Linked DNA regions of Alligator mississippiensis. The protein of the gene in region 3 purifies or fractionates together with the protein of the main gene of each other region. This does not show direct contact. Links are inferred from orthologs where the notes say so. Each region holds a gene or a part of one and is shown on either strand. Other genes may lie near its edges. The genes, in order: GSE1, EHMT1, HDAC1 and CCT5.

Evidence for each region.
Region 1: the proteins of HDAC1 (region 3) and GSE1 purify together in Homo sapiens (co-immunoprecipitation; 7 studies listed by BioGRID and IntAct, counting the BioPlex papers as one, with this or other methods). This does not show direct contact. The link is inferred for Alligator mississippiensis from reciprocal best matches to the Homo sapiens genes HDAC1 and GSE1.
Region 2: the proteins of HDAC1 (region 3) and EHMT1 purify together in Homo sapiens (affinity purification with mass spectrometry; 4 studies listed by BioGRID and IntAct, counting the BioPlex papers as one, with this or other methods). This does not show direct contact. The link is inferred for Alligator mississippiensis from reciprocal best matches to the Homo sapiens genes HDAC1 and EHMT1.
Region 4: the proteins of HDAC1 (region 3) and CCT5 purify together in Homo sapiens (affinity purification with mass spectrometry; 3 studies listed by BioGRID and IntAct, counting the BioPlex papers as one, with this or other methods). This does not show direct contact. The link is inferred for Alligator mississippiensis from reciprocal best matches to the Homo sapiens genes HDAC1 and CCT5.

Annotation. Positions count from the first base shown.
Region 1 is NC_081833.1:73,915,059-73,921,884, reverse strand, and holds the start of GSE1 (genetic suppressor element 1), read left to right. Parts: upstream 1-3,825; 5' UTR 3,826-3,901; coding exon 3,902-5,707; intron 5,708-6,826.
Region 2 is NC_081835.1:51,864,148-51,871,228, reverse strand, and holds the start of EHMT1 (histone-lysine N-methyltransferase EHMT1), read right to left. Parts: upstream 3,005-7,081; 5' UTR 2,966-3,004; coding exon 2,903-2,965; intron 1-2,902. UniProt on the Homo sapiens protein: Histone methyltransferase that specifically mono- and dimethylates 'Lys-9' of histone H3 (H3K9me1 and H3K9me2, respectively) in euchromatin.
Region 3 is NC_081829.1:5,643,514-5,651,195, reverse strand, and holds the start of HDAC1 (histone deacetylase 1), read right to left. Parts: upstream 3,016-7,682; 5' UTR 2,945-3,015; coding exon 2,896-2,944; intron 1-2,895. Other genes in the region: tyrosine-protein kinase Lck, read right to left, coding at 6,029-6,231, 6,534-6,665. UniProt on the Homo sapiens protein: Histone deacetylase that catalyzes the deacetylation of lysine residues on the N-terminal part of the core histones (H2A, H2B, H3 and H4).
Region 4 is NC_081826.1:139,954,802-139,961,888, forward strand, and holds the start of CCT5 (T-complex protein 1 subunit epsilon), read left to right. Parts: upstream 1-4,069; 5' UTR 4,070-4,133; coding exon 4,134-4,238; intron 4,239-5,679; coding exon 5,680-5,740; intron 5,741-5,828; coding exon 5,829-5,993; intron 5,994-6,452; coding exon 6,453-6,651; intron 6,652-7,087. UniProt on the Homo sapiens protein: Component of the chaperonin-containing T-complex (TRiC), a molecular chaperone complex that assists the folding of actin, tubulin and other proteins upon ATP hydrolysis.

The DNA.
Region 1 (6,826 bases), on a different chromosome or scaffold from region 3:
GCCCTGCTACACGTTCAAACGAAAGCTGGATAGAAACCAGCCATGGAGCTGTTCCGTGTTATCAAGCCCTTACTTTGTAGCAGGTCGGCTCTTTTTGAGGCCGGGGATCATCCATTTTTAGGATGGCATCATGACATTGCACATGCGGTCGGTCAGTATGTATTGCAGTGAACTGCGCAATATAGGCAACGTAGCAAGGGGCCTCTGGGACAGGACTCCACCTTTGCCCACCAGCTGCAGAGTCGTTCCATATTTTCAAGCCTTCACTTTGGGAGCAGATCAGATCTTTTTTTGGAGAGATTGGCCTTTTCTGGTGGGATCGTGATGTTGCACATGTCAACATTTATTGCATGATGCACCACTCCTTTGCGCAAAGTAGGTAATGTGTAGCCGGGTCACAGGGCTCCACCTCTGCCTGCCAGCCATAGAGTTATTTTCAAGCTCTCACTTTGTAATGGGTCGGATCTTCTTGGGAGCTGGGATCATCCTTTTTCAGGTGGGATCCCAGTGTTGCGTGTGTCTACATTTACGGCGCGATGCACCAGTCGATTGCATAATATAGGTAACGTGTAGCAGGCACCCCACTTTTTCAAGCCCTGACTTTGCAGTGAGTCCACTCCTTTTTTAGAGCTGGGATCCTCAATTTTCTGGTGGGATCATGACATTCACATGGAAGCTGAATAGAAACCAGCTATGAAGTCGTTAGACGTTTTCAAGCATAACTTTATAGCCGGTTGGCTCCTTTTATAGCTGGAGAGTCATCTTTATCACACAATCATTACTTTCCACAGGTGGCTGGTCTAAATTTATGGTGCGATGCATCAGTTCATTGTGCAATATAGGTAACATGTAGCAGGGGCCCCACCTTTTCAAGTCTTTTTTTTTTTGAGCTGGTACCATCCTTTTTCTAGGGGGATCCCAAAGTTGCACATATTGACATTTATGGCACAATGCACCCGTCATATGTCTCAATATAGGTAACGTGTTACAGGGGCTGTCTACATGTGGACATTTATGGTGCGATGCACTCTTCATATGGCACAATATAGGTAACATGTGGCAGGGGCCCTCCCCTGGTAGCGAGTGAGCTCTATTTTTCGGAGTGGGGGCTATCCTTTTTCCGGGGGGATCACAATGTTGCACATGTCAACATTTATGGTGCAATGTGCCTGTCCTAATATGCAATAAAGGTAACACATGGCAGGGGCCATGCTGGGGTGGACATTTATGGCATGATGCATCTTTCCTAGCATGCAATACAGGTAATGTGTGGCAGGGGCACATGTTTATGGTGTGACACACCCATCTTAGTGTGCAATACAGGTAACACATAGCAGGGGCCATGCAGGGGTGGACATTTATGGCACAACACACCCATCCTAGTAAGTAATACAGATAATGCATGGCAGGGACTGTGCAGGTGTGGACGTTTATGGTGTGACACACCCTTCCTAGTGCACCATAAAGGCAGCGCATGGCAGAGGCCATGCAAGAGTGGATATTTATGGCACAACACCCCTGTTTTAGTGTGCAATATAGGTAACACATGACAGGAGCTGTGCAGTGGTGGACATTTATAGTGTGACACCCCGGTTCATTGCACAATACAGGTAATGCATGGCAGGGGCCGTGCAGGGGCAGACATTTATGGCGCGAAGCACCTGTCCTAGTGCGCCATAATGGTAATGCGTGGCAGGGGCTGTGCATGTGTGGACATTTATGGTGTGATACACACGTCTTAATGAGTGATACAGTTAACGTGTGGCAGGGGCCATGCAGGGGCGGACATTTACGGCACAACACAAGCGTCCCAGCGTGCCATAAAGGTAATGCATGCCAGGGGCCATGCAGCTGTGGACATTTATAGCCCATCCTAGTGTGTCATAAAGGTAACGTGTGGCAGGCGCTGTACAGCTGTGGTCATTCATGGTACGATGTGCCTGCTTTAGTGCACAATACAGGTTACATGTGACAGGGGCTAAGCAGGGGCAGACACTTATGGTGTGACGCACCCATCCTAGTGTACCATAAAGGTAATGCACGTGGGTGTGGGCATTTATGGCGTGTTGTAGCACATCATAAAGGTACTGCATGGCAGGGGCAAACATTTACAGTGTGATGCACCCGTCCCAGTGTGCCATAAAGGTACCGCATGTGGGCGTGGGCATTGATGGCTTGTTGTAATGCATCAGAAAGGTACTGCACGGCAGGGGCCATGCAGGGGCAGACATTTATGGCATGACACACCAGTCCCAGTGCGCCATAAAGGTAATGCATGTGGGCTTGGGTATTGATGGTGTATCCCAGTGCATCATAAAGGTGCAACGTGGCAGGAGCCATGTGGGGGCGGACATTTACAGTGCGACACCTTCTGTCCCAGTGCGCCATAAATGTAACATATTCAGGAATGGGGCATTTATGGCTTGTTGTAGTGCATCAGAAAGGCACTGCACAGCAGGGGCCATGCAGGGATGGACATTCATGTTGTGACACCTGCCCCCACCCCATCTCAGTGCGCCATAAAGGTAATGCATGTGGGGTGTGGGCATTTATGGTGTGTCCTAGTGCATCATAAAGGCACTGCACGGCAGGGGTGGCCATTCACGGCACAACATCCCTGTCCCTGTGCACCATAAACATAATGCATGGGGTGTGTGGACTTTATGGCATGTCCAAGCGCAAAGTAAAGGCACTGCCTGGCAGGGGTGGCCATTCATGGTGCGACACCCCCATCCCAGTGTGCCATAAAAGTAACACACAGGAGGTGTGGGCATTTATGGCATGTCCTAGCGTAGTATAACAGCACTGCCTGGCAGGGATGGCCACCCCCCGTCCCAGTGTGCCATAAAAATAACACACGTGGGGGCATGGACATTTGATGGCGTGTCCTAGCATATCATAAAGGCACCGTGCAGCAGCAGTGACCACCCCCATCCCAGTGCGCCATAAAGGTAATGCATGTGGGGGCATGGACATGTGATGGTGTGTGCTAGCATATCATAAAGGCACTGTGCCATAAAGGTAACACATGTGGAGACACGGACATAGTGTCCTAGCACATCCTAAAGGCACTGTGCCATAAAGGTAATGCACACGGGGGCATGGACATAGTGTCCTAGCACATCCTAAAGGCCCTGCGCCACAAAGGTAATGTGCGGTGACACGGACATAGTGTCCTAGCACATCCTAAAGGCACCGTGCCATAAAGGTAACGTGGCGACACGGACATTGTGTCCTAGCACATCCTAAAGGCACTGCGCCACAAAGGTAACACACGGTGACATGGACATAGTGTCCTAGAACATCCCAAAGGCACCGTGCTATAAAGGTAACGTGTGCAGGGGCATGGACATTGTGTCCTAGCACATCCTAAAGGCACTGTGCCATAAAGGTAACACGTGGAGACACGGACGTTGTGTCCGGGCACATCCTAAAGACACTGTGCCATAAAGGTAACGTGCACAGGGGCACAGACAGCGTGTCCTAGAACACCCTAAAGGCACTGTGCCATAAAAGTAACGCGGGTAGGGGCACGGACATTGTGTCCTAGCACATCCTAAAGGCACCGTGAGGCAGGGGCGGCCCTTCACCCCGTCCCAGCGCGCCATAAAGGTAACGCGTGCAGGCGCGGACACCGACGGCGCGTCCCAGCGCACCCGCGAGGCGCCCCGGGCCGGGGCTGGGCATTGCCGCTGCTGCCCGCTCCGTCAAGCGCGCCATAAAGGTATCGCGGGGCAGGCGGCTCCGCCCGCAGCCCGGCGCGGCGCGGCGCGGCGCGGCGGGGAGGAGGAGCCGGGGCCGGGGCCGGGGCCGGGGCGGGGACGGGGATGGCGCTGCGGAGCCGGCGGCCAAACTTCTTGCGGGGACAAAGTTAGCGCCGGGCAGCGGCCCCCCCGGCGCGATGAGCGAGGCGCCGGTGTCCCGCAAGCAGCGGCTCATGGCCGCGCTGGAGCGGCCGGCGGAGGACGGGGAGGCGGCGGCGGCGGCGGCGGCGGAGGAGGAGGACGGCGGTGCCGGGCTGCGCTGCTTCGTGTGCGGCGGGGCCATGGGGCGCGGCCAGGCGCTGAAGCTGCAGGTGAAGCCTCCCCGCGAGCGGGAGCGGGAGCGGGAGCGGGAGCGGGGCCGGGAGCGGGAGCGCGGCCCCTTCTTCCCGTTCCTGCAGCACCAGGAGCCGGCGCCCGGGGCGCGCGGGGTGTCTGCGGAGGGCTGCGCGCTGGTGTGCGCCGTGTGCCGCTGCTTCCTGGGCGAGCAGTGGGACGCGTTCGAGCGCAGCCGCACGCCCCTGGACAAGCGCATGTACTGGCTCAAGCGCCCGCACCAGGGCGAGCCCAGCAGCACCGGGCAGCGCCGCGCCGCGCCCGCCTGGAGCCTGCCCGCTGGGCGCAGCCGGGCCAGCAGCACCAGCAGCAGCCAGCCGCTGGAGGAGGAGGACGAGGACGACGACGAGGAGGTGGTGGAGGAGGAGGAGGAGGAAGGCAGCGACTCCGAGCTGTCCTCCCTGTCTGAGCCGCGGGCGCCGGAGATGAGCGCCGGGCGCCTGGCGTGGGAAGAGGACGGGCCCCCCGTGCCCGCTTGCTACATCTGCGGGGTCCCGCTGCCTCCCGGAGCGCAGCGCCCCGTGCACGTGCAGAAGCAGGAGCAGGCGGCCCAAGCGCCCTTCTTCCCCTTCCTGTGGCTGCACAGCCCGCCGGCCGGTGCCCGGCCCATTAACGCGGCGGGCAGCACGCTGGTGTGCCCCGGGTGCTTCGCGTCGCTCATGCAGCAGTGGCAGGGCTTCGAACTGGCCGGCGTGCCCGTGCTGCAGCGGCTCTACGTGGTGCCACTGGGCGCCGGCGTGCACCGGGCACCCGGGGGCGAGGCCGGGCCACCGGAAGCCTGCTACCTGTGCGGCGAGGGCTGCGGCAAGGAGGCCAGGCCGGTCTCAGCTAAGATCGCCAACGGGAATGCCAAGAGTGCCATGCACTTCCCCTTCCTCAGCCTGCTGCCCTGCCCGCCCGGCGCCAAGGGGCTGAGCAAGCACTGGGAGGTGAGCAGCTGCCGCAAGTGCTACGGGGTGCTGCAGGACCTGTGGGCCATGTACCGGGCTTGCCGCGACGAGGAGCTCATCACCTCCGTGCAGAGCTTCCTGGGCAGGTACCACCAAGTTTTCTCTGGCACCGACGCAGCCGGGCACCCAGTGGCCAAGCCCAGCCTGGCCTCCTTCTGCTACATCTGCGGGGCCGAGCTGGGCACTGGCAAGGAGTTCCAGCTCAACGTGAACCCCCCCGGGCGCTTTGGGGAGAAGGAGCCTTTCTTCCCCTTCCTCACGGTCTACCCCCCAGCCCCACGGGCCAGGCCAGCCGATGCCACGGGGCTGGTGTCCACCTGCGTCCTCTGCTACCACGACCTGCTGGGCCAGTGGGCGCAGCACGAGGGCCGCAACACCCACCACCCCAGCAGCGCCTGGTCCCGGCAGTACAAAGTGGAGACCTTCGTCTGCTTCTTCTGTCGCCAGGAGAAGAAGCGATGCCTCGGATTAAGGGCCGTGTGCGTGGCCCGGCTCCCCGTGTTCCTCTACACGCTCCGGGTACCCAACAGCTTGCTGGTGGACGACGGGAAGCAGCTGATTATTGGAGCATGCCCGGACTGCAGGGCGGTGGTCCTGGCTGGCAAGAGCATGATGCCCCCGGACCTGCTGGCTGCACCACCTCCGATGACCCTCCCCAAGGTAAGGGCCTCCTGCCTCGATTTCCCTGAAGTTGGGGTGGGTGGGACGGTCGGGCACTTGGTTTCAGCGGTGGGTGCTTTTTTGGTTCATCTGATCCAGGAGGTAAACGCCTCTGGGGTGCTTTGTTGCCAGCCGGTCTTGGGGGGGACCTTGCTTCCTCGTGGGGTCACCGCCGTAGTTGCGAGGGGCTGTGCTAAGAAATGCAGCCAGCATTCGTGCCAGCTGCTTTGGTGCAAGTCTGCCCGTGTGCCGGATCTGTTCTCAGGCCAGAACCGCAGCCGTTGCCAGGTCAGGCAGAGCAGCGAGTGTCTCCCTCCCTTTGTCCCAGCCCGGAGAGCCTTCAAGGGGCAGGCCTGCCCCCGGTAGCCGAGGGCCTGGGGAAGCTGGCCCTCTCCTAGGAGCAGCATTATCGAGCGATGTGGGTGTTCGCAAGAAGCTGCAGCAAAGTTTCCCATCCAAGGAACGCGAGTCCTGGCAGCAGGCAGACCGCTTGCTGCTGCCCGGATCGGCTTTCTGGGGCAGGGGGAGGTGTTCCTCGCGCCATCTGCTTTTCCCTGTGGGAACGAGCCTGTCTTTGCAAGTCAGATGTGCAGGGGCCACGAAAACCGCCTGGGATTCTCCTTCCTACGGGGCGCCAGCCTGCATGCTGCGATGAAGAGCGATGCCTCATCTGATTCTCATCAGCAGCGGGGAGGGGGGCAGCAGGTCTTCAGTGGGCCCGCGCGGGTGGGAAAATAATCGCCGTGTAGTCCGTGCTCCCGCCGTTAGATCCAGGTCTTCCTGTTAGAGCTGCCGGCTCCCAGACCAGCTGCAGGATCCCCTTCCAGCAGGGAAAGGTTACTGTGGAAATTGCCAGCTTGTTTGCCCGGACCTTATTTTTCCATCAGCTGGAACGAGATCCCTTTTGAGTCCGTGCCGCTCATCGCAGGCTAATTATAAAGTAGCTCGTCTGGAGAGATGGGTATGGAGCGGAGCGGGCCTGGGAGCGAGGAAATCTGTTCCTGGCTCTCTCTGCTTGGCTTCGCTCGCCTGGTTTCGCTCGCCTGTGAAATGAGGATAGATACCTCCTTGCAACTGTTTTGCAGGCGTGGGGTCTTGCCTACACGGGAGTGTTGATCT
Region 2 (7,081 bases), on a different chromosome or scaffold from region 3:
CAAGTTCAAATAAAAAGCATGGAGGGGAGGAGGAGGTGGGGGGGAGCTGAATTCATACCAGAATGACGGAAACAGGACATAAAGGGAAGATCACGTTACAGCTTCCAGGTTCTTCTCTATTAAGGGAAGTTGATTTCAAAACCCTAAAAACTTTCAGTAATAAAAAAAAAAGCTCTGAAAAAGGTAGCAAGGGTGACATGTGAGATTTGTCTCTAAATTGCTGATGGTAGATTGCACAGGAAGAACACAAGCTTCAAGCCTACTGCAGCAGTTAGCATATGATTTTCAGTACTTCAAGTATTTAGCCCTTAAGTGAAAGGCAAGGTTATTCTGTCATTCCAGTTTGACAGAAGTCTCCAAATTGATTGTCTGACCCTTCCAAGTATCAGGAGCAGAAACAGGAGGAAAGAAATGTATAGGGAGGGGGGGTGCGGAAAGCAGGAACAATAAAAAAAAAAAAGGTACCATCTGCCTCCTACCCCACAAACCTGCTGGTCATGAGGGCAGAGGGTCTCTAAATGTCCTTATTCGTCTGAATGAAAAATTTCCCTTCCATTGTACAAAAAGAATGTGATCCTTTGTCATTAGGAGATGGTACCACACAAGAAAGGTCACACTGGCATTGGGATTCTTGCAGCATACCAGTGTTACTAGGTAGGTTTCAAATCCTGGGAGAAGAGGAAATAAATGAGCACTGCAATACAACCAGCCCGAATGCTCGTGTTCCATATGATATCCAGACGCAGAACCAGCCTGATCCTGCAAGATGAGGACTGCCCTTGGCTCAATGAAGAGTTAAGGGCACTGACCACCCTCGGGTGACAATGTCAGCAGACAAGTCTTGATTATGGAGGGCATGATTCTGAAAGATGCTGAGCATTCAACTGAAGATAAAGGCAACAAGAGCTGCAGGTACTGAGCACCTCTGCAAATCAGTTGCCTGAATGCCCTAAAAAAATTTTTAAAAAATAAATAAATTCAGCTGAATCCTCCAGCACATCCCGAATTCCACATCTAACCAAACAGCATTACATTTTTGTGCGTTTTCCACAGAACAGTACAGAAATGCAAACAGATCAGACTAGAAAAATTCGACCTACCCATTGGTTTGGGGACAATCAAAAAAATATTGAGAGTAATTTACCCCTCTTCCCCAGTCCTCCTAGTATAACGGTGACAGGGACAGTCAAATAGATTGCATCTGGGCTAGTAAATTTCCATGTCTTTTGAAGGGCTACTGTAGGCCATATGCATTATGACTACACAAAAGAAGCATAATGGTTAGTTTCAAATAACAGGGACAAATGAAGACCTGAACACACAAGGTTATGGCTATTAACCCCTATGCTGCTGAAGACAGACCCAGAATTTTAAAGCTATATATAAAGATGGACGGTAGCATCTTTTGAAGGCATTTACCAGGGGTCAGTCTGTATGCCTGGACTGCTCAAAATGCTTAGGAATAGTCTATCGTGCTGATAGCGCTACAGTCATGATATCATACGGACACATGTCTGCCCCAGTGGTAATCTCTGTTGCCTCAGCATCTTTATTACAAGCCCATTTGCAACTCAAACCTCAAGGTTTCTGGAAAGGAACTTACAGCTTAAGATTTCAGACAAGGAATTTGCTTTTTCTCAATAGTTTTTAAAAGAAACCCTGTTTGTTTCTTCACCGTCATTTTTGATATACATGCTTTCAACCTGCACTCGCAAGACAACATTCATGATAGCATTTGCAGTCCAGCAGGCAGACATTTTTCTCATCGTTCCCCTTACTTTCTGATGGCATTTTTGCTTCTTCCCCGTAGATAAAAAATTAATATCTATTAAAGTAACAGTAAAAGCTTTCTCTAAAACCAACAACTGTGAGACTCCAGCCTAAATTTTTCAGGCCAGCAGGGGGTGGTAGCATCACCCACAGTTCTGGCAGCTCTGCAATAATCAAGGGACAACAGTGAAGGTCAAGACTGAAGTACACACCCTAGCTCAGAAGGTCTTTATTTCTGTCGATCACAGACAGGACCAGGAGGCTGTTAACATAGAATGTAAACAGGAAAGCAACATGGCAGAGTGAGATGTGACAGTTTTAAGCAACATTTTAAATAGCCTGCCAGCAGGCAGCTTTTGCCATGAAATAAAAGAAAATCCCAATGGTTCACTCAGTCCCTCGTCTGGATGACAGGCTAATGAAGAAAGGATTCTCCTCTCCGAATAAATGGCTACCTTTGCCCTCCTGCCATCCCAAAAACTGAACTGTAGGCTTGCTTGGCATCAGCCAAGGCTGTCAAACTGTTTCTAGCAAGCAGGTGAAATGCTTCTGCAGGCCCTCTCTTGTCTTTGAAAGCTTGGTCTTCCCAGAGTTTAAAGACCCCCCCTTCTCCAATATGAAATGGAAAAGAGGGGCAGGGGGAGCCCTAGGTAGAACCAAACACTTGAAAGAGACTCCATGCTAAACAGGAACACCCCTCCAAACAAAAAGACAAGGTAGACACTCACTGGATTTGTAGAATCGGAGTGCCAGCTTCCTTAGACAGACACATATCATTTAAGACTCAGAACTGTGTACAAGTTTACTGAACAAAACAGTCATCACAGCAGCCAGAAAGTCTGCAAAGCATGCGCCTGCCCTGGCCACTCTCTAAATCTCCTCCTTTGAAAGAAAGCCCACACCCCATCCTGCACGCTGCTGTCTCACTAGGCAATACACACATTTCTGCTGTGCTGTTCTTTCTTGCATAGGACAACAAAATAAATACAAAATCCAGCCATGATTATCTTAACTGTCTTCCTCCTCTCAAAGGTTTCTCCTTTTCTACCTGACAATAGTCTGTCTGCGGACACAACCTGAGGGAATCTGCTATTTATGACATATGGAGCATGGACACTACAAGTTACTGTACCTGCAGACATCTGTTGTCTTCTTTTGATGAAGACTCAAAGAGTTGCATATTCCAGATCCTCATGAACAGTGATTCAGTTTCTGCTCATGTGATAAAAGCTCCCTCTACAGAGTGAGCATGCCCAGTGGAGACCATTTCACTGTTCACTCCAAGCTGCAGCCATTTCACAGAGAACCTGCAGACTTAAGGGCTTCCATTGGAGCAACTGTTATCTAAGGCATCAGAGGGATACAGCGTCTGTCCTGGTACAATACACAGTTAATAAAGATAATCTGTCAACATTCTGACACAATGCCAAGCCTAAGACTGATCATAGCCTGAAAACCCCCCTTAAAAACCATGCAACAATGTGTTCTGTTACAGTGGCCTTCAAGAGTAGCCCTTCCTTGCCTATGAAAAAGAGATGCTGCCTATTAGCATTTACATTTGAGGGCGCATGTGCTAATTATATTCTGCTTAATAAAACTGTGCGCCTTTTGAATGCTGGGATAAATGCACGTGGGTCAATCAGCAAATGTACAGTGTCCAACTGAAAGTGAATTTGAGATTTGATCCGCTGAGTTGAAGGGCCGTCAATTTTTCACTTCAGAGATTTATAATACAATGTGAGCTTACGTTACCAACCTTAAAAACGTATCAGAAACATAATCATCAAAAAGAAAAAAAAGCGAATGAACTGATAGAAGTACTGCACCTAATACTTTCCTGAGCTGAGCCTATGTCGAACCATAAGATACAACTGGCCCAGCTAGCAGGATAAAAGAAGAAATTTTAGCTTCAAAATCACAAGTAGTTTGTCTCTGTTCCGTTTCACAATTAAGCACAAAGTCTTGGCAACCCTCATATCTGCTATAGCTCCCAGTAAAACTGCCTGAGCAACTCGCAGGAACATCTGTAAGCAGAGATCAGCTGGACTGGATTCAAATGCAAAAAGTGACATATTTATCACAATGCCAACGTACGTGGGTTTCTTTATGTTTAATATTTTCTGGAGCACCTCCCACAAGAAAGGGGGAAGGGAGGATGGAAGAGAAGAGAGAAAGAAGGGAAATTCTTAAATGGAGTCAAGTACCTCCTGCTTGTTCTTCAACATGGAAAAATGCAATTCTCCCACAAAGCAGGACTGAGGAAGAAGTTTCCCTTTAAGGCTCAACATTAAAATAGCCACTAGTTCAACATATTGCATCACAATGAACTGAGATGAAGAGGGAAAGCCTGGCCTGCACAAAGGGAGAAAACACATGAAAATTCACAGTGAGAAGCTGAAAAGCCCAATTTTACATCTTTTAGACAATGCACGAGAATCAAGTACACTAAATTCTAGTTTTCACAGTGAAGCGAATCCTACAAGATTGCCCTTCTTCCCTTTATTTAGCAATGCAAGAGACTGTCATGATCTTCTATTATCACACACTGGAAACAAGCAATATCAATTTTCTCCACCCCATGCATTTACTTCACCATCTTGCACATAGACATTTGCAAAGTGGTAATGGTTAAAACAGCAACAGCAATCTTCCATAGCACTGCATCTACTAAAATGATGCTCTTTTCCTCTCTCCAAGCACTTCAGACACGTTTCACTACCAAATGGTTAAAGCATGCCAGGCAAAATTGAGAGGATAAAATTGATCAAGGAAACTTAAGGTGACAGAAGGAAGTGAGGATATCACCTTTACTCCTGGGTTGTTTTTCTAAAATAGCTTTAAGTTACAAGGCATATCAATGGGATTTTTTTTCTGGCCTTTATTTCAATCACTGGAAATGTAACGGTAACCTCTTTAATATAAAAAAGGAAAAACGCAAAAGACAACCACCCAAAAAACAACAAAACCTGACAAGACAGACAAAGGTATATTATCCACTGCAACAAAAGGAATACTGTAGTTCTAACCAAAGACAGCCCTAAAATAGGTCTGTCTACTGTTATCCCTCTTTGCAGCATGAATTTATAAACCTAACATCAAAAAATATGGAAGGGGATACAACGAATTTCATAACAACTGCAAACGCAAAAGAGGTAATATAGTCAAAACATTTTTAGAGCTAAAATTTCTCTCAAACCATGTTACAGTATTCATTCTTTCAGTAGGCTCACAAAGACAGCACTTCTTACTGCAGCTCAACGCTAGAAATGTTTTCACTGCTAAAGTTAAAAATACATGGAAAACAGAAGTTAATGCAGATGCCAATTTGTTTTTCAAGTCTCCCCTCCATTTTGAAAGCATCTTTTCCCAAGCCTTACAGACGGACACATTTTCAAACAGCATATTGGGGACACTTCAACAATTCACTGAAAACTCAAGCAAAACAATCAATTAGCATCTTACCAGGCACATTTCACAGTGTCACAGTGACACTGTACAAAAGGACCAACATGATTTGTGCATTAGTTATTGAGGTTATGGTCAAGTTCTTTACATTTATGAAGTCCAAAGAGAAAAAATGAGCTCCTAAGCAGCCCTTAAAATCTCACACATCATTAGCTGCACCACACTGCCATTCAAAGGCCAGTCTCCTAAAGCGACACTGGTATGTGCATCATGTCTGCTTCAGGAGCAAAAAAATAAAAAAAATAAATCTCTTCTTTTGGAACTAAAACCGTTTCATGGAAAGCTGCAAATCGCATGGAGATAATCAGTTACGATACCTAGGAGTGAAGTTGAACAACAAACTTGTTCGCAGCTCTTGAGTTTAACTGTGTCGTGACAGACCCAAATGCTGTCATGTTACTGTTTAATGCCCAGGACGAAGCTGTAGTCGTGTTTTAAGGTGCTTACTGTTTGATGGAAGCTACAGTGCTTCTTGCTCTGTTTCCTACTTGGTCCACATGAACAACAGTCCTGCTTTGGCCACATGACCTAGCTCCCTCTACAGGTCCGTGTGCCACAGTAAGCATGCTCAGAGAGGAGACCATTTCCTTTCAGCCGTCTTAGTGTTGTGGAAACTGCAGCCATTTCATGGAAGTCAGGGAGAGCACAGATACAACCTCTTTTTAAACAGATCCTGCAAGACATTAAAAGGAGCCATCTTTTGTACCCCACACGCAAATATCCCCACAGACACACATGTGCACGCACGCACAGGCACGGATGGAAAGAGAAAACTGACATTCCAGGGAAGAAGATGGTTACACAAGTTAACTATTCGGTGACTTCAGAAAAGTAGAATCACGTTGCATTGATCTCTCCTCCCCACCTTTGCCAGGAAAGGCTGTCATGAAGATGACCGAGGTGGACTTCCTAAGGATTTGTTGCTAGTGGAATGAACCAGCACATAAACAACACCAAAAACCCAGCCATTTGTATTCAATTAAGATTTGTTTCCTTTCCCCCTTCTCTCAAATTAACCCAAGCAAGGTCATCATCAAACTGTATCTTGTGTGGGTTGCCTTGCTAGGGACACTGTATCACTTTGCTTTTTAAAAATGTGTTCTGCCCAGGACCTTAAAACTAGCAGATATTTTTAAACTCGTGGCTCTCTGGCCTGTTCTGAGATTCGAGGCTTGAATATCCTTTTAGGATCTCACATTTTAAAGAGAGAAAAAGACAGCAGAACGACAACCTTTGTTCAACAAAGCACACATGGTTCCTAAGGGCTTTTGCTTAATTACACCATTACATGTGTCATTTTCACAGCTTCTTTTAAAGAAGAAATAAAAGTGGGAGGGAAGGGAAAATGTTTCTACTGTCAGAAGATGACCAATATTTGGTCCAGCAAAATACAGGAGTTTTTTTGATTTTGCCTTGCCTCCCTTGCTGTTTTCATACCCTACCCAGCACCGAAGCTGCTTTTTCTCTTTTCGGCTATCTTAAAAACATAGTGAACAGGAGAGTTTAAGGGGTAGAGAAACCGTCTATAAAAATAAATTAGGATTCCAAAAGGAGCTTTCATATTTTTCCCCTGTTGTTAAAAATTACTCATCAGCTTCACAACAAGTTATTAAAATGCCTCCTTCCTCCCTCAATGAATCTTTAGGGGGGTACGTTCCTGCGAGGTGCTGAATCCCCCTCAATTCCCAATGCTGGAGACACCAAATGCCCATTGAACACCTTGCAGGGCGAGAAGCCCCAGTCTGAAATGTACTGAGCAGGCTCCTGGACTCATGTTCTACCTCACAATCTGAAACCTGGGTCTGTTCAAAGATTTTAAGCCAAAACTACAACAAAGTTAAATGCT
Region 3 (7,682 bases):
ATACAAGTCTCTGGATAGACAAAGAATGACACAATCTCCACTGGAGATTAACATGATTTGGAGTGAAACTGCAGTTCTCATTGCTTACAACAGAATCTTGTATGGAGGCAACAGCACCCATGTTAAAGGTAGGGTTAATTTTAAATATAAAAAAGGCTTAAAGGTAACCAGAGAAAAAGCTAAAGAGTCTCCCTAGGGAATATTTGTGAAGCCCCAATCTAACTGCTAAACGAACAGGAGCCCAGGAGAAAACAGCCACTTGTTACAGTTATGCCCTGGGCTCTCAATTAAATACAGAAGACCGATTGTAAATGCTTTGAATTGAGGATCGTATCTTGAGGTTTTTACTTTGCTAAACAAAATTAAGTTACCAGATTTCCCTTTTACAGCAGTGGACATATCTGCCGTTTCAAGGATTTGTTTAAAGAGGAACTAAACATGGAAAATTCTAGGGTGTGACTTTAAAGCACAGTAGCTATTCCTCACTATCAGCCTTAAATAAGAGGTCTAGTTTACATTACAAAGTTCTGCAAGCAAAAATGTAAGCACTTTCACACCAAGTCTCCCTTGTGATGGCACAATTTCTCCCTTTTGCTTGCACTTACTCCACCTCTGCCAAGGAATAAGACTTCTGCTTCCACCTGGCAGCAAGCTGAAGGCCTATGTAGACAATCCAGCACCTTCTGCCAGCTGCGTAGTTTTTGCCTTGCCAGGGTGTGCTTGCACTCTCTCTGGTGGCAGGGCTGCAGAGTGGAGCTGCAAAGAGCCACAGAAGCACATCTGTGTGCACAGGCTTTCATGGTTGCCACTGTTATCTGCTGCCAGAACATGAGGTGGCCTACTTGGGCAAGGCCAGTGCATGCATGCACGCAGTAAAAAAAAAAAAAAAATGGCTACTGCAATTTAAATTCACCCCAAGATTATTCCACACTAGCTCCCCTGTGTGGAAGAGCCCTAAAATAAGATGGACTTGAAGCATGTTCAATTGCATGTTAACTGACAATAAAAAGGAATGTTTTTACCACAAGGTAACTACTGATAGTTAATTATCCAGTTTTACCAGGAGGTAAACTAGCAACATCAAATACAGTTGTCACTTAGCTACCTCGTGTGCAAACAACTAGCACGCATTAGTTATCTTGCTGGGGAGCAGGGAAGAAACACACATACTGCAGAAGGGCCTCCTAGTTCCTCACTTAATAATCAAAGAGGCTCATGCACTGATGACCAATTATATGTTTCTAAACACAAAAGGATCTCCAGACACAGACATTTTCATGCAATATCTGAATTACTTAAGTAGGTGAAGTGTTTCCTCAAGTGCAAGGAACATAAACCAGCATTTCCAGGGACCCTGAAGTTTTCATCCGAGTTTCAGCACTGGGAGCTCACCAATATTCTGATTTAATATCAAACGTGCACAGACAGAGCTGCTCAGAGCGATGGAAAGTAGAATGACGGGGTGAGGAAATCAGAATCGCATCACTGCAAATGACCTATGGTCCATGCACAGCACCAAGACGGGCATGGGGAGAACCCTGTGCAGAACACCCCTCAAGTAAAAACTATTTGTTATATATTGATGGTGGGCCTATGCCCACCAGAAACTAACAGCCCCCCTTCAATGACTAGAGCAAGGCCAATGGGACAAAAACCATGAGAAAACAGCAACGGGGTGCAGGGTGTAGGTTAATAACTAGGGTGCCGAGGGACGTCAGGCAATGGGACGCTGTGCAAAAGTCAAAGGCATGGATCTCCTGACAACATCAGCAGTTAGTACTGGAAGTTACTACACCAGAGTGATGAAAATTCCCCAATAGATACTGAATGAATTTATTTAGACAACCAAGTCTGGATGATGACTGAAAACATCCTCTGGCCCCAAAGCAAACCAAACGAGAACAGCTATTTTTAGCCAGCTTCCACTACTAAAAACATTATCATCTATAGGAGGACGACGTGATCCATTTTGTGCAGATCGATGCACCTCTCCCAAAACACCTCCCCCTGCTGGCAGACAGCCCGGCCATCCGTGCGGTAGCGAACGTGCACAGCAGAGCGACTGCAATCCCTCCCTTTGCAAGCGCAGCGGGAAAGAGCCAACTGCCTCGGTCAGCCCATTACCTGGGCAAGGCCCACGGGATGCCCAGAGCAGCACAAAGCCTGGATCCCTGCACACACGCACTACATCTACAGTCCCGCCAAGTTTTGCCAGGCCTTAAATCACAAGCCGTGTCACAGCAGCTCCCCGGTGCGGAGGGAAAGGCTGTCTCGATGCATCCTTGCACACCCAGGAGTTGTGAAGAGCTTCACTTCCTCTTCCTGCGGCACCTTCCTCAGAGACCCGCAGGCCTCCATGGGGGCTGCTCCTTCGGACCCCCTCAGGGCTCCCTTCGCCCACACAGCTCCTCAGGGCCCCCCCAAGCCAGGCCCCCGCTGGGGCCCTCCTCAGTGCCCCTGCCCCCATTACCAGGTGCCCTCAACACCACCCCCCTGCAGCCAGGCACCCCCTAGGATGTTCCTCAGTGCCCCCCTTAGCCAGGCACCCCACAGGGCACGGCTCAGTGTCGTCCCCCCCTCAGCCAGGTGTCACCAGAGCCCTCCTCGATGCTCCCCCATGCAGGCAGGCGCCCCCTAGGGGCCACCTCAGCGCCCCTCCCCCCACCAACCAGGCCCCCCCTCCCCTCAGCGCCCCTCCCCCCACCAACCAGGCCCCCCCTCCCCTCAGCGCCCCTCCCCCCCAGCCAGGGGCCCCTCCTCGGTGCCCCTCCCCCCCAGCAGCCAAGGGGCGCCCCTCCCCCCCACCATCCAGGGAGCACCCTCCGTGCCCCCCAGGGCAGCCCCCTGCAGCCCCTCCTCCTGCTGCCCCCCGCCCCGTGCACCCCGCTCGCTCACCATCATAGTAATAACAGACTTTCCGCTTGGTCCCCTGCGTCAGCGCCATTTTCCTGCCTCCCGACAGCGACAGACCCTTCGCGACTCAACCGAACCTGCCCCAGGGGCCAAGGCACCCCACAACCCACCTCCCCCCGCCCCCGCGGGACAGCCGACCTATCGGGGAGGGGCTTTAGCCCTGTGCTCTCGAGACGACCAATCAGAAGGTAGGGAAGGAGGAGCCAGGGGGCAGCATGGTAGGTAGGCAGCGAGGTTTCCTGGACTGTACCATTCAGAGAGCAAACGCCGTGGAAGGAACGGGCTGGCAGGACTGTACCAATCCCGGAGAAGGGGGGTGGACGGTTCTCTTAGGAGAGGGTCTGGGTACATCGGGATGTACCATTCTACAAGAATGGCGAAGGGGGGTCAGATAGGAGTGTACCATGCCCATGGTAGAGGCAGTCAAAGCAGACAGGACTGAACCAGTTGACCCCTGCCTCCATGGCGTGCTCTTTGCCTGCACAGGCATCCCTTGTTACTGCTTTCCCACAATGCACTGCTGCACATCTGGCCTGGCCAGACAGCCCTGTGCCTAGGGGTCTCTGGTTACCAGGGGGTGGGTGCCACAGTGCATTGTGGGAAAGCATTGCTGCACATCTGGCCTGGCCAGACAGCCCTGTGCCTAGGGGTCTCTGGTTACCAGGGGGTGAGTACAGCAGTGCATTGTGGGAAAGCACTGGGGGGGGCCCCTGGCTCCAGCTGTGTGCTTGGGAGCAATGTGTTGAACTGGTGCCAAACAAGTCAGCCATTTTGTGGTATCTCACTTCCTGGTGTGCCCAGTGCTGCCCCACGTCCCACGCCACCCTTCAGGTGCTGGCTGCACCCCTCAGCCCCTGCCACGGGCTGAATACTCCCTTGGATCCCACCTGCCCAAGCACCCTCACTTCCACTTAGCATCAATGGCTCCCTGGCTGCAGGGCCAGCCTTGCAAACTCCCTGCCTGCCCCATGAGTCGCACCAGCTCCCTGGGATGCCAGCATTGCCCGTCTGCAAATCCTAATCCTGCCGGTTCCCCTCAGCCATCCCGCCAGGTGTCACGTCTCTTGTGAAACATGAAGGGTTGCTGTGCTTAGGGTCCGATTCTGATGTGCTGAGACAACCCCTGCCCTACACTTACACAAGAGACTCAGGATCCTGGAGACTCAGACCCCAAGTAGGTTTGCTGTTGCATGATGCCCGAGCAGCAGAAGGCAGGGCCAGCTGGTCCACCACCTTTTACTCGGCATGACAGGACCCCACCCTCAGCTCTGTGCACCCCCAGCGTGTGATTAGGATGTGTTGATCTTCCTTGCCACGGATCGGATGGAGCCACATGATTACTTTGTTGTTTAATGAAAGTAAAACAGCAATACAGGACAGGGCTTTACAATGAAATGGAGAAAGAAAAATCTTACAGTGAAGATGGCTCATTCCTAAAGCAAAATTCTGGGTGGGTTTCTGGTGAGCAAGCCTTTAGTGAGACTATGCTGAAACCCTTCCTTGATGGGCCTACCTAGAGCCTCACACTCCCACCCCCACTGGTCTGGTGCCAATTCTGAGAGGGTCCAGTTCTGGATCTAACGGTGTTGTTCAAATCCATCTGTAAGTATATTATAAAATGCCAGTGTCTGGGCTTTGGGGTAACCAAAGCAGTCTTGCTGGTTGGAGCAGAGTCCTGTGCATCTCTGCTTCTCACTGGGTGAGACCATATACAGACATTGCACTTTTACCAGTCGAAGTGATTAGAAACCAGCCTATACCCATAACAGAAGTTCGACACACATAGACTGGTTTAAAACTGGCGGGCCCCAGTCTAAGATTTGCCCTCCCCCCACATCAAAAAGGGAACGTGTTCTGTTCGCTACTGACCTAACCTACGCCGCTTACTGAAAACCACGCAACTTAGGTCGCTCCCGCTTCAGGTTTTTTGAAAGTCTGTATCTAGCCTGATCTTCTGAGCTGCAATCAGCATTTTTTCTTCCTGACTGTAAACTCCTTTCTCCCTTTCATAACATGGTTGAATCTGATAACTACTTTACCAAACTCTCTAAAAGGTTGTTGGTGTGAACGGCGCTAGTCAGAGTCCAGCAGTGTGGTTTCAGAGTGAAGAAAGATGTCAGCAATGCAGAGAATGACTGCTTTGGTGACCCTGGGACCAACAGACATGGACAGTGGTGTCCTATACACCATCTTCCAGGGATCTGAGCTCTCATGTGAAGAGGTTTTGCCCCTGTTGCATTGCACAATGGGCCCTGTGTCCTTCTACAGTACCTGTGGTGAGTGCAGCTATTTGCATGCCTTGATCACAGCCCCAGCCTTGGACAGCTTCCAGTCACACAGCTGGCACATCCATGCAAAACACCTTAGCATTGATGTACCATCCATCTCCACTACAGAAAGGAATAAAAAACCACCAAAGAAATATTGCAGGGGGAACTTGGGGGTGGAAGGGACATGGGGAGTTCCACTTTGTAGCCCTTTGAGCATCTCTTTGTGGAAAATCAGTGCTGAGATGGGGTCCAGCTGATCCAGTGCAATTGTTGTTGTATTCTGAGCATTATCTGAGACTGTAAGTGAGCTGGTTCCCTATGTTATTTTCAGATCAAATTTGTGATTATAGTTGCTGAAGAGAAGTTTATAAGACTTGACAGTGCCTCTTGCTAGGAGTACACTCTCTGTATAGCATGGGTGTGTCGAGGCCCGCAGGAACGAATATGGTCTAGGCAGTGACCACCTGCGTGGCCGTGTATCTGTGTGGTTATCTGGACAGATGCATTGTGAGTGAACATAAGGCCAGTGTGCACATGGCACTGAGATGGGTAAAGTAGCACGTGCATACTTGCACAGGGAGTTCAGAAAGAGACCTAGCAGCATCTTGGGTCAAAACACTTGTCAGTTCAGTGCCTCCGGTCTGCTCTGAGGCAAGGTCTGCTGGCTGAGCGTGCTCCAGGAACACGCGTCTTTGCTATGGACGGAGGGATTGCTGAGGTCCTGCCAGCGTTTGCTGTGATCCAAATGCCAAGGCCCGATCTGCATAAAGTTTCTGAGGAGCTAATGCATAGGGGCTGTTCCCCTCCGCCCATCCTGACACGAGGATGCCTCCAGCCCCATCCTGTCATGGCTGCTGCTGGTACTGGCCCTCGGTGGCAGTAAAGAAGTCCTCGAGCACACTCTTCATGTATTCAAAGGTGGGGCGGTCCTCTGGCCTCTCCTTCCAGCATTTCTTCATCAGTTCGTACAGCTCCTCTGGGCAGTTATCTGGCTGAGGCATTCGGTAGCCCCGCTCCAAATTCTGTATCACTTCTGGGTTCGTCATCCCTGCACATACAACACACATAACAGTCAGAAACAGCCAGGGAAGGGAGCCACTTCCATATACCGGTGCTGACCTCTGCTGGGAGTAGAGGAGCATCGGCCGGCTCCTGCAGCCAGCCACCCTGCAGTGCCTTCTGCCGAGTCTGAAACCAGGGTAACTCTCGGCCCTTGCAACCACCCCCGTGTCGTAGAGCACCTTCTGCTGGTCAGTGTGGGGGCATGGAGGTACACCCAGCCCCTGTCAGCTCCAATGTCTTTTTGATCTGACTGCAGGCACAGGCTGCACTGCTGTGAAAAATCCTAACCTGGATAGGGGATCCGGCCATAGGTGATGATCTCTGTGAGGAGGATCCCAAAGGACCAGACGTCAGATTTGATGGTGAATGTACCATAATTAATAGCTTCGGGTGCCGTCCACTTAATGGGGAATTTGGCTCCTGAAAATACACAAGGAGAAAGAGGGACGGGGGATAGGAGAAGGAAGAAGGTCACTGCTGTTGCCCTAAACCCACAAAGCTGATGTGCGGGCTTGAACGTCACCTGCATATCCCTTTGCGCCCTGCCCTCACTGAAACTCCCTTGGCGTGGTGCACCCACAGCCCTGGCATGTCTTGCCATCACTGGGCTCTTAATGATGCCTATTCCTGAGATAGCCACCAGATAGGGCTCTAGTCTCAGACTGATGTGGATTACTGGGCAGGCTTCCTGCAACTAATGCCAAGCACAGCATCCCCTCTGCTCCAGAGAATGTATTAGAAATGTCTCTAGCTGCTGCTTTCACAGGTCTGAGGGGGCCTCCGTTTCTCCTAGCCCCAGCCCTAGCTATTCCTTTCACTAATTTCTATGTCCCTTTCTGCAAAAAGCAGCAGTCCCACTGTCACGTGCCCCACCTCAAAGTCCCTCCTGCCCCATGCTAGGGGAAGCTGTCTTTCCCTCACTCCTTCAGGGATGCCCTCTTAGGCCTGGGTTACCTCTGTACCTAGCACAGCGATTCTCAAACAGGGTGCTGCAGCACCCTGGGGTGCCTTGAGATCCATTCAGGGGTGCTGCAGAGTGCCATACCATGCTAGGTGTGCAAACAGGATTCACAAGATAAACCCAGAGATTTCAAAGAGGAATCTCCAGTGGAAAAGGCACTCTGACCTGTTGTGGTCTTCCTGAATTCTTTGCAACAAAAGAATTGCTCTGTTTGGGGTTTTGTCCTGCAGTCAAAAATCAAGTGAAAACTAAGAGCAAAAGGTGCCTTAAGTCTAACAAGGGGTGCCTTGAGCGCAGCCCCCTGCCCATTATGGCCTCGCTCTCTGCTCTGGGGGCAGAAGTGACACCAGCCTGTTCCTATGAGAACCAGGCAGGTGATGCTCTCCCAGGTCACAGGCAGCAGTGCATGGGGCTTGGGGTCTTGGGATGATGCAGTTTGCCTCTGCAGGCCCCAGCTGCCCGGCTCAGGTCGGCTC
Region 4 (7,087 bases), on a different chromosome or scaffold from region 3:
TGTCTCAAGAACTGCAGAAGCTGAGGAATATTTCTTGCCAGCCCTCCTGGAGTGAGCAGTACCCCCACACTATGAGCTGATGAACATGGCTGCATCTTAGCTCCTGCCTTTTTATACTTCCAGTCTTTCTGTCAGGTGACAATCTGATTAGTCCTCATTGCAGGGCAAATGTGGTGGTGGTGGGAGGGGGGAGAGTTGACAAGCCTGTTGGGTAACTTTATTGCTAAGATAAGGTTTTCCCTGGTGGAGGCCGGGAAGAACGACAGCTCTGCTCAATGAAACCCAGCTTCTTACCCAGCATTTGCACGTGAATACCAGACCACCTCCATTTAAGGCCTACTTACTACTCAGTCTGTGCTACCAACCTCTAGAGTGTCAGGCCAACACTGAAAACAGTAAAGAATAGAAGAGAAAAAGTTAGTAACAACAAGCCCACAAATCCAAAGTGGAGCCAGCAGCTTGGCAAAGATATATATACAGCCTAGCCAACTTTACATAGTGTTGTCATCCAAACCATTAGCATTGCCACACTCAGTACCCCTGCAGCAGCAAGGTCCCTTATTTCTGCTGGCAGAGCAGCACCACTTCTGTAAATTACAAAAGGTTTTTGCCCAAAAGCATACATAGATGTGCCCGCACTTTCTGCCAACTGCTGAGGCACCTTTACCAGCTGATGCCTCCCAGAGTGCCCCTGCCAGAAACTGCGCAAGCAGAGACATGCTCTAGTGGCTTCCCTGTGGTGGCTGCTGGGTGCCTACAGGCAGCCTGTATCAAAGACAAACCCAAAGAGTTTGTAACCTTGTAACCACTGAAAGCTATGGCAAGAGTCCTCAAATCAATGGGAGCTAAACGTTTTGGCAGAAATGGCACAAATTAGCCCAGCACACACCCCCAGTGCCACTCCGATCCCTTTCCCTTACCCAATGTGCTGCTCAGCTTTCTGCTCTTCCCTATGCTCCATGCTGCTCCCTGGCCTATCTGTCACTGTGCTGCCTGTTCCTTCCTCAATCTGCCACATGACACACACGGAAGTTGTCCGTGCCACTTACAGCCCCCAGGCTGCAGATTAGCCATCCCTGCCCCAAATCATCATTCATACTGAAATGGTGTTTTGTAATCATGTAAGAGAGACTTACAATAGCAAACACATGATTAAAAAAAAAATACTCTCTCCAATACATACTCACCTTTTTGGTCCACAGTTAAGTTTTACGGATGTGGCTATAAGCAGATGAGAAATGAGACACTGTTGGGTTGATCATGCAGATTTCATAACAACAATGCACCATGAACGATCCTCTATCAATTGCTATTAATTTGTACCTTTCTTTACCCAAAATGATATTTTAAATGCCACTACAATTTTACTGGACAGTATACAAATTTATATGATCAGTATGCTGTATGCATTTTATGGTAAAAGGTAGTTTAACAAATGTTAGGTTTGCAACAATAAAGTACATATGTTATTTCAAAAACCAAAAATATGCAGACATTTGATTTTTGATCTCTTGCACTTTGCTTTCACATATTAAAAGGGCCAGTTGGTACTATAAACACTAATTTACTGAAATTACCATACTTTCTCAAACACGACATACACCTTTTACCCAAAAAATCAGACCCCCCATTGGGGTACGTTTTAAGCAAAAAAGCTATGTTTCTGGCTGGAGATACAAGCACCCTACTGTGATTCTGCTCCACAGTGTAGCAACTTGAGTATTACTACAGGTTTCCCTCATTTTTTGTGGGTTCTGTACGTGCGAATTCGCTCTTACGCGATGACCCTTTTTATACCAACAATTCGTTATATGCAAGGTAAATTCACTCTTATGCGATCTGTGTGGTGGAAACCCGCAGTCAGCTGCTTTGTGCATAGCACTGTGGGAGTGACAAGCACCAAAATATAGGCTCCTGTGTGGCTGTTCTCCTTGCTCGTTATCTGCAACACGTGTTTCTGTAGTTCCCATCCCCATTATGATAGTGCTCAGTGCTTGTGTGTACTGTCTGCTGTTGGTGAGTACAAAAATTGTTTTGCGAAAGTGATAGAAATGGATCTGGGGGTCAGTACAGTCAAGGTCTTGGAACATATCCCTATTTGTTACATTGTAAAGTGGGTTCCCTTTATGCGAATTCGAGTTATGCACTGCTTTCCAGGAACGCATATACAGCATAAAGTGAGGGAAATCTATATTCAGGCTACTGAAGGAGTCAACTGACTTAATGGCTCATTGTTCTTCACTCCAGAGATGTTAACAATCCTCTCTCCTTTTTAATGGTGTTGATGTTCTCCTAATCAAACTAACCTTTCTTTGGGCAATTTTGCTGTGTGTTCATTTGTCTTGGTCTCTTATTTCACAGCTTCTTTAGCTGTTTTCAAAATTGGAAAGCTACCTATAAACTTGCTGGATGTTTGCTGGATTAATAAAGTCTGCTGGCACGTGCTAATTAACGTACTATAGCAGCCTCCGCGTCATATGTATTCAGTGTCCTGCACTTCAAAATGGTGGTGGGGGCACTTTAACTAAAACTCATCAAATGAGCTTTAAGTTAAAGTGCCCCCGCCACCATTTTGAAGCACGGGACACTGAATACAAGTGATGCTGTGGGTTCTTTAAATACAGCGGCTCTCAGAGCTGCTCTAATTAAAGTGCCCCCCTTCTCCACCCTGGAGCACATGGAAAGACACCCATGGCAACCAGTCTTCAGCAACAGCTTGGGCTTTAGCTAAACCAGAAAGGGAGGATGATATAGCTAAAGATTCAGCTCTCTCTTCTCAGAAACCCTAACTCTGGAAAAAGCTCCCCCCCCTCCCACTTTGCCTTTCAAAAAAACAAGGTGCTGTATTTGGGGATGTGTTGTATGCAAGAATATACAGGTATAACTGAGCATCTAGCAAGATAAAGAGATCATTTTGGAACGTGTGTGATAAAAGGCACAGTGGGCTGATTTCTTGCCTGCTTCTAGTTCGGACCAATTTGGCAGTGGGGCTCAGTGCCAGGAGACTTTGCTGTAACTAGTTTTGTAAGCAGGCCACCTACATGCTTGTCACCTGGGGACAGGCAGCAGTCTGTGCTTGGCAGCAGGGCCCAGAGATTGCTCCATGACTGATCCCCTGTGACTTTGTTCTATTGTGGGGGGGGGCTGAGCCTCGTCCCCAAGCTGCTAGTTATGGCAGCCACAAGCACGGGGCGGGAGTGTGCAGAGCTGCCCTGCCTCAGGAAAGCAAGGGGGGCTCTGAGAGCTGCGAGAAAGGGAAAAGACAGAAAGGGCAGATCAGGGCACTTGAAGCAACTCCTGGCAAAGCTCATAGCAGCCCCCCCACACAGCGGGCACCACAAGGACCAGGGCAGGGGGCGGGGCCAGAACGTCCGCGAGCCAATAAAGGGCAACTGCCCGCCCTGGAGAGGGTCCTTGAGGCGGGAAAACACTGAGCCGCTTAGCTGAAGTGCCGCGCTTGCGCATGCTTGAAGAAAGCGGCCCGGTAGGAGGGCCACGGAACTTGAGCGTCTGTACTGCGCATGCGCGGTCCACAACCGCGCGCGTGCCTTCTCTCGACGTGAGATAGTCGCTCCTACCTCGGGCACAGCCCGCTTCAGTGCTAACGCTGGCTCCAAATATGGGTTTCCCCGAGTTTACCCATGGCTCAAGTTGCTACCTACGAAACCCTCCCCTGCCACCACTCACCTCCCGCGCAGGTCTCGCGAGGCTGCAGGCCCCGCCACATCCGGGCACTGCGGCACGGGCGATACCATCCGGCGCGGGGGGGAAGGAAATGGTTTGGGTAGATTTTATTGGGAGTGCAGTACTCGCACCTCTGTCCCCTCCCTACTCACACAAGGCTCCGACCCCGTCTCCCTCCCCGTGGGCTGCAGAGCCCGCGCAGTGGCTGCGACGGGCGATTCCGTTAGTGGTATTTCCCCCGGGAAGGGCGGGGCCTGGGCAACAGCCACGCCTCCCCCGTTCCGACGCTTCCAGAAGGGTTCGGCGGGGGCGCCACATTAGTCACGGGCCACAAACCCTGCCTGGGCGAGGCGGTTGCGCAGGCGCGGAGTGACATCCCGCGGAGGGGGTGGGGCTAGGGGCGGTGTGTGCTTGGGTTCTGCTTGGTGTAGGGCGGCGGCAGCGACATTATGTCGGCCATGGGGACTCTCGCTTTTGACGAGTACGGGCGGCCTTTCCTCATCCTCAAGGATCAGGACCGCAAGAGCCGCCTCATGGGGCTGGACGCCCTCAAGGCAAGTGCCCCGCGCCCCGCCCGGGGGGGCCTTCGGGCCCGGCGGCCGCGGCCTGCTTCCCCCCTCCGCTTCCGCGCATGCGCAGGGCCCGAGCCGGGGTCCCAGGGGCTGCTTCCACTCTGCTGCGGGGGGGGGATTCGTGGAGGTCTGCGCATGCGCTGGACCCGAGCGCGCCGGCTCCATTTAAGAGCGTGGCTAGCTGGTGGCGGTGCCCACGTGCTTGGAGCTGCTGCTGCTCTCTGAGATGCCGCCAGCGGTGCTGGGCAGGAGCCTGTCTGTACCTGGGCTCTCTCATGTAGGCCCTGGGGGTTTGCATCCACGTGCCTGGTTATTATCGGAGCCCCCAGGCAAATGCCAGCACCTAGGTTGCACTCCTGTTTTCTTGCCCACCGAAGAATGCCAGAGCCGAGCTTTTGTTCCAAAAAGTGTGGGCCCGCAGAGTGGTTTCAACACTGGACTCCTGCTTGAAATCTCTGGGTTTCTCTGATGTTGCGTGTTTGCATATCTAATGGCTAGTGCTGCCTAGCATCCCATAGCAGATCTCGAGACCCTTCCTCCCCCCCGGGTGCTGTAGCACCTTGATTGTGACTTTCTGGTCTATGGGTACCATGCTGCCTCCTGGGCAGTAGAGGAATATCCGTGTTAGCAGCTTTCTTTTTATTATGCTGTCATGAAACACTGATTCTCTTAGACTGGGGTAGACAGATGGCCTCTCTGGGGCATGCAGCAGATGAGGGAGGGGACAAGCAGTACAGCAGCAGGTAGGGTAGGAAGCAGAAGACAAGAGTTGGGCAGAGAGTCCAAAGTGGGTCAGGGGAAGGGGAGCAACCTTTTTATCAGGCATTTTATAGATTAATCCTGTGCCCTCCCCAAGTACCACAAACCCCTTCTTCTGCCAGCTCTACTGCTTTGATTTCTGCTCCCTGCCTGATCTCCTTCCTGTGCTTAACTGTGCTGCATGTCTTGTATTGAAAGCTACTTAGGGCACCTGTACATGCACAGGGAGTCTGCTCAGCATGTTGAGCAGACTTGATAAATTGAGCCTGCTTGAGCATGGTAATTACCAGGCTTCAGCAGACTCCAGAGTGTATCAACTTTCCCCCACTGAAAAATGGCAGCAGGAGTGCTGTTTAAGCTTTAATTAAAGCACCACCGCTGCCATTTTTCAGCACAAGGACACTGATCCACAAGACACTCTGGGTACTTTAATTAGAGTGGCTCTTGGAGCTACTCTTTTTAAAGCAGCCTCCCCCCACTCACTCCCTCACCGTGTATAAATGCCCTTATGTTCCTATGATAGTTTCTCCTGTAAGGCAGTAGAATCAAGGTCTCATTATGGTTGTTTTTATATAATTTACTTGGGTAGTGTCATTAGGAAAGTATTGTGACTTTGAGGCAATTAACTTGTTTTTTAATTTATATTTGGACTTTTGTTTCATAGTCTCATATCATGGCAGCAAAGGCTGTGGCAAATACTCTGAGAACATCACTTGGACCCAATGGTATGTATGAGAAGAAGATTGAAGTAGTTCTCTTTTAGAGGGTTTTTTGGATATTCAAAATGCAGTAAGTTGCAAATATTTTTTTCAGGCCTTGATAAAATGATGGTAGACAAGGATGGTGAGGTGACTGTGACAAATGACGGTGCCACTATTCTGAGTATGATGGACGTGGATCATCAAATAGCCAAACTTATGGTAGAACTGTCTAAATCGCAGGATGATGAGATTGGGGATGGAACAACAGGAGTTGTTGGTAAGAAAATACTTCTAATTGGTTTAAAATGTAGTGAATGCAGTCAAACTTAACTTTTTCTTTAGGAGGCTGGGGCTGCATAAATAACTCTAACGTGCTTGGAATTTTGAATTGTTCAGTATGTTGGACCTTGTTGCAGCTCCTCTTAAAAAATGAGCCCTTCCTGATACAGGAGTCTAAACTTCGAGCCAGTGTTATACATCCTTTCTATGTTTTACTTTTTCTTGTGTTTTACAATTTTTAAAATTCAAACTCATTTTTTTTAAGCAAAAGAAATAAATAGGTTATCTTCCCAAGGAACATGACCATCGGATGTATTCTAAACTTCTGTGTCATTTAAACTGTAACATTGCAGCAGCAGGTCTATTAACCCAAATCTTTATGTGCTCATAGGGTCTTGTAAGTCGAAATCATTTAAAATGTTCAGTGACAGTAACTCGTCTGAATTTTGTTTTATAGTTCTGGCTGGTACTCTGTTGGAGCAGGCTGAACAGATGTTAGATCGTGGTATTCACCCTATGAGAATTGCAGATGGGTATGAGCAGGCAGCTCGCATTGCCATTGAACATTTAGACAAAATCAGTGACAGCTTTCCAGTTGATCCACAGAACACTGAACCTTTAATCCAGACTGCAAAGACAACTCTGGGCTCTAAAGTGTAAGTTTACATTGGAAAAACCTGGCAAATAGAGTTTGGTACTTCAGGCATTTTGAGAGTGAACTAAGAACCTTTTCATTTGCTTTTTTGCTAGGATATAGTTTGTTACATGCAGAGCTGTCCCCGGGGAGGGGGGTGCGCAGACAGTGGCGTACAGGCCCTGCAGACAACACCATTGGCATGTACAAGGGGTGCTGTTACTCTGCAGCCATTAGTTTTGTGCTCTGGCTGCTCACTGCCCCCCACAGGCCGATGTGCCCCGGGCTCTGCACACCCCTAATGTCAGCTCTGGTTACGTGTGTCAAGTTTAGGAAGCACTTGCAAGATAGCATAAGGTACTGAAAAACTATTTTCCATGCAGGAGTAGAAAATGAGCAACGTGATAAATGAACTTGCATTGCAGTACTGTATGTTCCAGTATGTTTCTGCTTCTTTT